2 linked regions of the Nothobranchius furzeri genome follow. The protein of the gene in region 1 purifies or fractionates together with the protein of each later gene. This does not show direct contact. Links are inferred from orthologs where the notes say so. Each region holds a gene or a part of one and is shown in the gene's direction. Other genes may lie near its edges.

What was found.
Region 2: the proteins of stx11a (region 1) and vamp8 purify together in Homo sapiens (co-immunoprecipitation; 3 studies listed by BioGRID and IntAct, counting the BioPlex papers as one, with this or other methods). This does not show direct contact. The link is inferred for Nothobranchius furzeri from reciprocal best matches to the Homo sapiens genes STX11 and VAMP8.

The regions. Positions count from the first base shown.
Region 1 is NC_091758.1:20,330,098-20,334,343, forward strand, and holds stx11a (syntaxin-11a), read left to right. Parts: upstream 1-1,439; 5' UTR 1,440-1,574; intron 1,575-2,692; 5' UTR 2,693-2,697; coding exon 2,698-3,567; 3' UTR 3,568-3,944; downstream 3,945-4,246. UniProt on the Homo sapiens protein: SNARE that acts to regulate protein transport between late endosomes and the trans-Golgi network.
Region 2 is NC_091757.1:27,703,361-27,707,439, forward strand, and holds the start of vamp8 (vesicle-associated membrane protein 8), read left to right. Parts: upstream 1-1,270; 5' UTR 1,271-1,456; coding exon 1,457-1,471; intron 1,472-4,079. UniProt on the Homo sapiens protein: SNAREs, soluble N-ethylmaleimide-sensitive factor-attachment protein receptors, are essential proteins for fusion of cellular membranes.

The DNA.
Region 1 (4,246 bases):
TACTCAAATTAATTAAATTAAAAATGAACACTTCTGCAAAAGTAACCTGTAATTGATTAGAATAGCATTTTTTACTGTTTGTTTTTTGTCTAAATAAATTACTTATAATCTATTGTTTGATACGACCGATGGAGACATAATCTGACTATAAGGGATTTGTTTTTTTTTCTTTTCTTTTTTTTCTTCAAAACTTTATTGAACAAGGTGATAAGTATACAAACAAATTGCATACAAAATTGAACAAAGAAGATGAAACATATGCCAGGGGGTGCACTACAGAAATGTTACACACATCCAAATAAATTACAGGTGGTGCAAATAGTTATAGTTTTTAAAGCTTTTTTGTTTAGTGATCCACTAATCAATTTTATGCAAGATAGAGTGTCACTATAATAGTGCTTGAAATTAGGTTTTTGGTTACTATACTTGCATTTGTGGAGATAGAATTTAGCTAGATTAACAAATTTATAACAAAGTATACATCTTCCTTTCTCTGCTTGCGAAAAAAATACAGCATTTTCCCATTTTAAAACGAAGTCCTTGCAGAGCTGTCCGATAATAAATCTGCTAAAGTCTTTCCAAAACGTTGTAGCATGTGAACAGATCCAGAAGAGGTGGGATTTGTTGTTTTATTTGGTTGTGGAGAGTAAAGATTTTCTGTCCTCTGCTGGAAACAAGTGGGTACTGCAGCGTTCAATACAGCGTTTAGTCCAATTTACAGGAAAGCCAGAGCGTCTTCACTTATATAAACTACTAAAACGCAATAAATCAATTTTAGTTATCTGTGTTCAACTCGATTAAATCAAGGAGCTGCAGCAGGAGCTAAAAGCAGCTAGCCACAGCACAGCAAATAGAGCAGATCTACCGCCCTCTGGCGGCCACAGGGCGAAACTACACGGCAGAAGGGTTTGTTTTTTGGCAATGTAAAACAGTTACGAAATTTTACCAAACTAATCAAACATGTCAGATATAAAAATATTGGTTATGAGTTCAACAGAACAATAAGCACCCAATTGCATCTAATAAACACTCAAACATTGATACATAGATTTTTTAAGGTCCTTTTTTTGTTTCAAACAGGAAAAGCATTACGTCTTTGGATTTCACAATGAATGTATGAAATACTCAAATAAATAAAATAAAAACAAATACTAATAAAAAACGCATGCTAAAAAGCTACTGAAAATCTGAGTAAATCACAACAGCTGATTTAATTTGATGAATTTGTTTATTCAGAAAAATGATATATGCAATCAATTATAATTACGTAACGTCATTTTAACATTTCTAAATCACCCTTATTCACAATACATTTTAAGTAAAAGCTTTGAGTTCAGGAAGAACTTCCATTCGGACCCCTTTGATGGAAGTTCTTCCTGAACTCAAAGCAGGGTTTGATCTTCCGCGTAGTTGGTCTCGCGGCGTCAGGAGGCTGGTGACACTCACACCTCTTTACTCAGACTGTGGTTGATGTTGGTGAAATGTCTAAATGTAACCGAGACACAAAGAGGAAACGGGTCTTTCTTTTCTTCTGTTTCTAAGGAGAGTTCTCTTTAGGAGGGCACCGCCATAAGGTACGTTTACTTCTCTGGTTTTATCGCCTCAAGTAACCTGGCGTAGTTTACAAGACTCCTCTTAGTTTCTTCGTTTACCTCCTCCCATCAGATCACTAGATGCTTATTCGTTTCTGTTTTGTTCATAAATACTTGAAATAGTTTGAAGTAGCTACACAATGTGAGTAGCATGTGGAGGACAGATGAGACTAACTAGCAGCTGAAAGCGTCACAATCTGAGGAAGTAACAGAGCAGTTTCCTTTTGTAGACATTACCGCCTGAAATTATTTCTAAACCATCAGTTTATTTATTTATTTAATTATTCATTCATAACCAGAGAAGCGTCCACACCTATTTTATCTTATCGCAACTCAATCAAAACTAATTAAAGTGAGAGCAGTAGCAGCTTTATGACGAGATAAGTATAATAAGAGTTGAATGGTTTTTAATTAGGTGTGTTTATATGGTTGATCATCATTTCTGTAACCAGGAAGAATTTGGTCGAGTCCAAAATGCATAAAGATAAAAATGAGACATTTTTGAATGATTGCCCCACTTTTATTGTTTCCAAAAATAAAATGGTCCATATTACGTCACAGCCAGTGAGTAACAGCAGCAAAAAGCTGATTCTAAATGTGTCATAGCAGCTTATAAGAGTTTAATTAGGATCTGTGTTTTCTAGGAGGGCTCTGGTCCAGCTTGTTGTCCGAAGGCCACCTCTGGTTTAATGCACCAAATAAGACTAAATGTTACCACATTTCTCGGATCACTTTGAAGATCTTACATAATTTCGAGGAAGCTTAAAAGCCCGTCTCGTGTTGATAATCATGGCCACATGATGATCAGCACTGTTCCTCTTTTCTGCAGCGTTATTATTTCCTGACAACCTGAGGAACCTCCTAAGATGCTGCTTAAAAGAGTGTTGTGTCAGATATCTGGAGTCAGTCTGAAAGCAGATCTTGTTTTTATTGTACTCTATTACTCTCCTCGTCTCTTAAGTTACTCAGAAGACAAAACTGCAAACTGGGCCTCAAAGATCTTTGTCTTTTGGAGATATGTCCAGCTTCCGCTCATCTCAGAGCGACGGAACATTTCATATATTTTAGAAAATAACAGATCGAACTGACTCTTGCTGCAGGTGAAATGAAGGACCGACTATCTGAGCTGAAAACCGTCACCCCGGAGCCTGCTGAGGAGGAGCTTAACACAGTCTTTGAGGATGAGGAGGTCGCAGAGTCACTGGCCATCGTGTTTCAAGGTGAAGATGTGATGGACGGCATCTACAAAGATGCCCAGATGATGAGGAAGGAGCTGCAGCTGCTGAAAATTGACGTGAAGCGTCTGGCGAAGCAGAACACGCGGTTCCTCACGTCCGTCAGGAGGTTTAGCAGCATCAAGCGGGACTCTAACGCGCTCGGCCGGGACATCAAAGCCAGGGGGGAGGCCATCTACGCCCAGCTGGAGAAGCTTGGAAAGCTGAGCAAAAAGCTTGGAGAGGAACACGGCTTCACGTCGGCTCTGTCTCGTATGGTGCGCTCACAGTACACTTCTCTGACTCGGGCCTTCCACGAGGCCATGTCTGAGTACAACGAGGCCGAAATGATCCAGAGGGAAAACTGTAAGACCCGCATTCAGAGGCAGGCGGAGATCATGGGCAAGGAGGTGACCAGGGAGCAGCTGGACGAGATGATCGAGAGCGGGAAGTGGAACGTCTTCTCGGATAATCTCCTTTTGGAGGGGAGGACTACCAGATCTGCTCTGAGCGAGATAGAGAGCAGACACAAGGAGCTGCTGGAGCTGGAGGGTCGCATCAGAGACATCCACGAGCTCTTCTCCCAGATGGCTCAGCTGGTGGAGGAGCAGGGCTGCATGCTGGACAACATAGAAGCAAACGTCTGCTCTACTCAGGACTACGTTGCCAAGGCAACGGTTCAAATCACACAGGCTAAAGAATACAGTGAAAACAACCCATGCAAGAAACTCTTCTGCTGCTGCTTCCCGTGCTGTAAATGATTCTTGGTCAGATTTAAACTGGAACTCTTTATAATTTTCCTTTTACGGGGTCAGCGTCAGACATCTCACTTCATTTTCACGTACTGTGCTGGTCTGAGAAGGAGGAAGAGTCATTTCAAACCGCGCTGTTCACATACAAATGCATTCAGTTGTAATCGAGTTGTTGCATTTCCTGATCGTAACTGATTATTACTTTCTGCAGCACCCACATGACTCCACGTCTCATCAAAGATATGTCATTGCAGCTTTTTATGTCGGGTAATGCATGTTTCATTCAGTAAAACTTGATTTATTTCTAAATTACTGCTTTGGAATGAAACGGCGACCATTAAAATGGGAGAAAAAAAAACAAAAGCTGGAGCTGACGTTGCTGCAGCTGTTGGCCAACAAGTGTGTAGAAACACAAATATTAGTGGTTAGCTGGGAGATAAGCTGCGTTCGTGTTGAACAACAAGCCTCGTTTTGCTCCAGCTTTATGCCGGAGCTTTTGTTGCTTCATATGAGATTAGCTCCAGCGTCTGGAGTCTGATTGGTGTCATGTTACATCCACACAAGCTTTTCTCTCAGGCGTGTACCTGAATCAGTGTCAGTACAAACACTCAGAGCCAGAGCAGGGGACTTCCTGTTGGTACCAGAGTTCTTTGGTAATCTGGATTTTTTCTCAGATTAGGGACTCAAA
Region 2 (4,079 bases), on another chromosome or scaffold:
CTACAGGATTGTATTTGTATTTGCAGGAGTATTATTTGGATGTTGTGTTTGCATTAACCCCCCGTCTTGTGTCTTGATTTTTGTAAAGTCCCTTTTATTTTTGTTATGTCCCTTTTGTTTTCACGTATCTATTTTATGTTGTACATAGATGCTGTCATGTTATTCACTAAGCTGTTGGTTTTGGCTGTTGTATTGACGAGACTGTAATCCTCAACGAGAATATGTATCTTGTTCAATTATAAATAAAGAACATGGCGACTGAATGGGGAGTTCGCTGCGGCTCTTTCCTCTGTTCTAGATGACTTTGGCACGTCTTTAAAACAACAAGTAGAAGCACTAAAAGCCTTACTTCTAAGAAAGATGGCGCTGTCGCCAGACGCCATTTTTGACTACAGCTAAAAAACTACTGCATTGCGCGGTACTGTCTGCATTTCTGTCTTTTTTGTGATTGGTGATTTTTGAGCTTCCTAGTCCCGCCCCTCAAGTGCCTCTCTGCCTGTGAGGAACCAGACACTCTCTGCAGGATTAAACAGGACCAGTCTGGCAGGCCAGGCTAAAACCTATGAGGAAAACACACACACAGCACTCACTTATGAGTGTTATTGTCTTGTTTAAAAGCTGAACCACTTTCTATGTAACAACTATTATTACATTATAATAGTTTAGCACAGATGTCTGCTGTGGTGAATAAAAAGTATTTATTTAAAACTTAGGCCTACTGCTAATGTGAATTTGTTATGTTTGAATTGCTCTTATTTTTGCAGACGTTTGTTTAGTTGAGCATCGGATTAAATCACAATCCAACTCTCACCACTGACTCACAAATCAGCAAAGCTTCAGACAAATAAACGGATGAATAAATATTCTATGTGCCCTTGAAAGGTAATTACACTCAGTTTATCAACAGCAGACACAATACAGGAGTACATCTTCTAAATAAAAGCATAGATGTTTCACAATAAAACAAACGATGGCCCAGGTTCATAACAAAATGTATAAACGCAGAAGTAAAAATAGGAAGAGCATTAAATAATTAAATAAATAAAATAATACACAGTTTAAAAAACTTAATTAAAATCCAAGTGATTTGGTTAACACGTTTTATCTCCTGTTTTAAATTATGAAACAAATGTAGTACCGTTTTATTTTATTTAACTTTTCTAACGTAATGCTTGTAAATGTTAATAAACTTACTTTAAACCGTTTAATGAGCTTCACGTTTATCGCTTTAATGAAACCGGATGTGGGTTTGAGCTGAAAACTCGAAGCGAAGGAATTCAGAGTGAAGAGAAAAAAACAGGAAGTGAAACCAAGGAGGAGCGAGTGAGAGAGAGAGAGAGAGAGAGAGAGACACCTGTAGGAGCGTCAAACTTTTAGGTTTTACATCATTTTAAAGGTTTTAAACTAAAGAACCGTGTCTGTGGGTCTTCTGAAGGAGGATCTAGTTTCTGACAGGATGGACGCGGACCCGGTAGGTGATGTTTTTCTTGTTTTGTTGCAGCGACTCCATAACGAGGCGCCATGTAAGGAGCAGGTGTGTTTGTTCAGGTCACATGAAGAAAATGAATAATGTTTGAGTTGAGGGGACACCTGTAACTTACGACCCTGTTTTCCCTGAACAATGGCGTCCACTCGGAAGCTGCTCTGCGGTCCTGCTGTTGGACATTTACTTAAGTTAATGTTTGAAAGTGTGAAGTCGGTGTTTAAATGAGCGTTTTAAACGCTGTTGCAGCTTAAAGCTGTTTGTTAGCTCAAACTTAGCTAGCTAACTTAGCTCAGAGATGCTGTAGCATCTTGTTCCTGCTGGCTGGAGAGGTCAGAGGATCAGATACTTCAGAAGGTGGAAATAATTTGTTTTGGACTGAAACCTTGGTCTGTCCACATACGTTTGGTGTGTTTTCTAAGCAGGCGTGCAAACAACAGATGTAAAAGTAATGTTGTTGCTATTTAAGATAAACTGATCTGTATCATCTTATTTTTTCAGGGCATCATCATTGAGGCACTTGGATTCAATTTCTGTAGTTTTGAACCACTTTAGGACACAAACAAATGTTTTTTTATTCTGGTCAGCTGGATATCTAACGGTGGTTTTTGACTGTTAAATGTTTGTGACCAAGTGAGAAAAGCTTTGCATGCAAATCTGAAGCAGGACTGATCCTCTGCTGCTGCTGGGAACAGAGGTGTTTCAGTCTTTATAATAGAGACAGAACAGATTAAAGCTGAAAGATCAGGATTTACACTCCATTCAAATCTCACATGTGCTCACAGATTAAGGGAATTTCACATTTGACTAGTTAAAGAGTCGGCATTTTAAATGGCTCACTGAGGATATAGGTTACATTTATTTTGCAATCAAATGAAAGTTTTCCTTTAAATTTACCTTTTAAATCATAGAGACCACATCTGTGCCAGCTTTGTAGTTGCCTGCTATCTAATTTTATTTCCTCTTAATCAGGTTTTACTGGAAGACCCAAGTTCGTCTTCATCTGCTTCCTCTCCAGCACATGCTGAGCTCTTTTAAATGAATCCTACCATCTTTATGCAGATGGCATCCAACTGTACATCTCCTTTAAGAACCATGAGATGTCTAAGCTACAGCTGTTAGTGTTTCCCCTAGGGATTTTTCCAGCTGTGGTGGTGGGGGGGGTAATGACACGACTCACCTTTATGTTAATATTGTTTTATTTGATGCACTCCACTTTGAACTACACCAGTACAGCAACTGCTGCATTTTAATGACTAGTATTGAAGGTGAATACCTCTTATTTATTATTGGAAATCCTTACTTTGGTTAAATAAATCAGTTGTTGAACCCCCCACTCCTCTGTTTGGTCTCCTTTCTTATTACAGCCCACCACTTCCAGTCTGGGTTGTAACAATCTGCAGACAGATTTCTGAGCATCTCCTCCTTTGGTACACAGATCCTCACTGAGCCATGTACTGTGAACAAATAGTTTCTCCGTGATATTATCCAGCAAGATCTTGTTTTTGTCAAAACAAGGGTGAGGTAATGAAAAAATAGAAATATTTCAATAAATTAACATTAAAATTATTTATATGCATAATTAAAAAAAAACATGTTTTGAAATATATAAAGTGCACCAAACTTGACTCAGTCCATTCAACAATTCTAAATGGACAATTATGTAACTCATCAATTAATTATTTGAAAGGATAATTTGTCAATTAAATGCTGAAAAAAATAAACAATACATTAATGAGGCAAGAACTTTTTAAACTTGGACATACCTACACCCACAAGTCTATTTTTACCTGGTTAAAACCATCTAGCTTATGTGCACTTTTTAAAACACTGCCCAGCAAACATTCGGACGTTTAATGACAGTTGAACGGTCACAACTGTAAAATAATATCACAGGAATTAGGAAAGAATAACATGACATCAACTCTATGTCCCTTGGCCGGACTCGAACCTGGATCCTCCAGAGTGAGAGTCACCCGCTCTCCCAGCTGAGCCATGACAGCAACTGCTGAATCTCAGATTTTTTTATACAGATAGCTAGAGAGTAAAGTGCGGAGTAAACTAACCAATCAGAGGACAGGGAAGATCTGCCACAGGCCACGCCTCCAGAGTGCCAAAACTCCTCACAGCCGAGCGAGCGGAATTAGAAACCGAGCGCGCAGAGGCTGCCGAGCGCGCAGAGAGGCTGCCGCGCGCGCACGTTTTCCTCTGCCGTGTGCTCGTTGGCAACGCGCGCACGCAGGTTTGTCACTTGTGCACATCCTTGTGCGCTCACAGACACAGTTTGCTCCCTCTCAGTGCACAAATGACCTCTCGCCATGTATATTTTCGCTCGCGAGTCCCGTTCACACGCGCACTGTGGACCCAATGCGCGTGCACGGGTTGTGGCACGGGTCTGACGCGATACTCTCTCCCCCAGAGATCGGTGGACTCAGTGGTCTCCTTTAAAAGCAGCTGAAAACTCACCTGTTCAGGCTGGCTTTGGTGTGACCTTAACTATTGCCCTTTTCTTATTCAGCTCTTTCTACCAATTCAGCCTTTCCCAGCATCCACTGATTACCTCTTTTTTAAAATAATTTTCTGTTTTTCTTTCCCA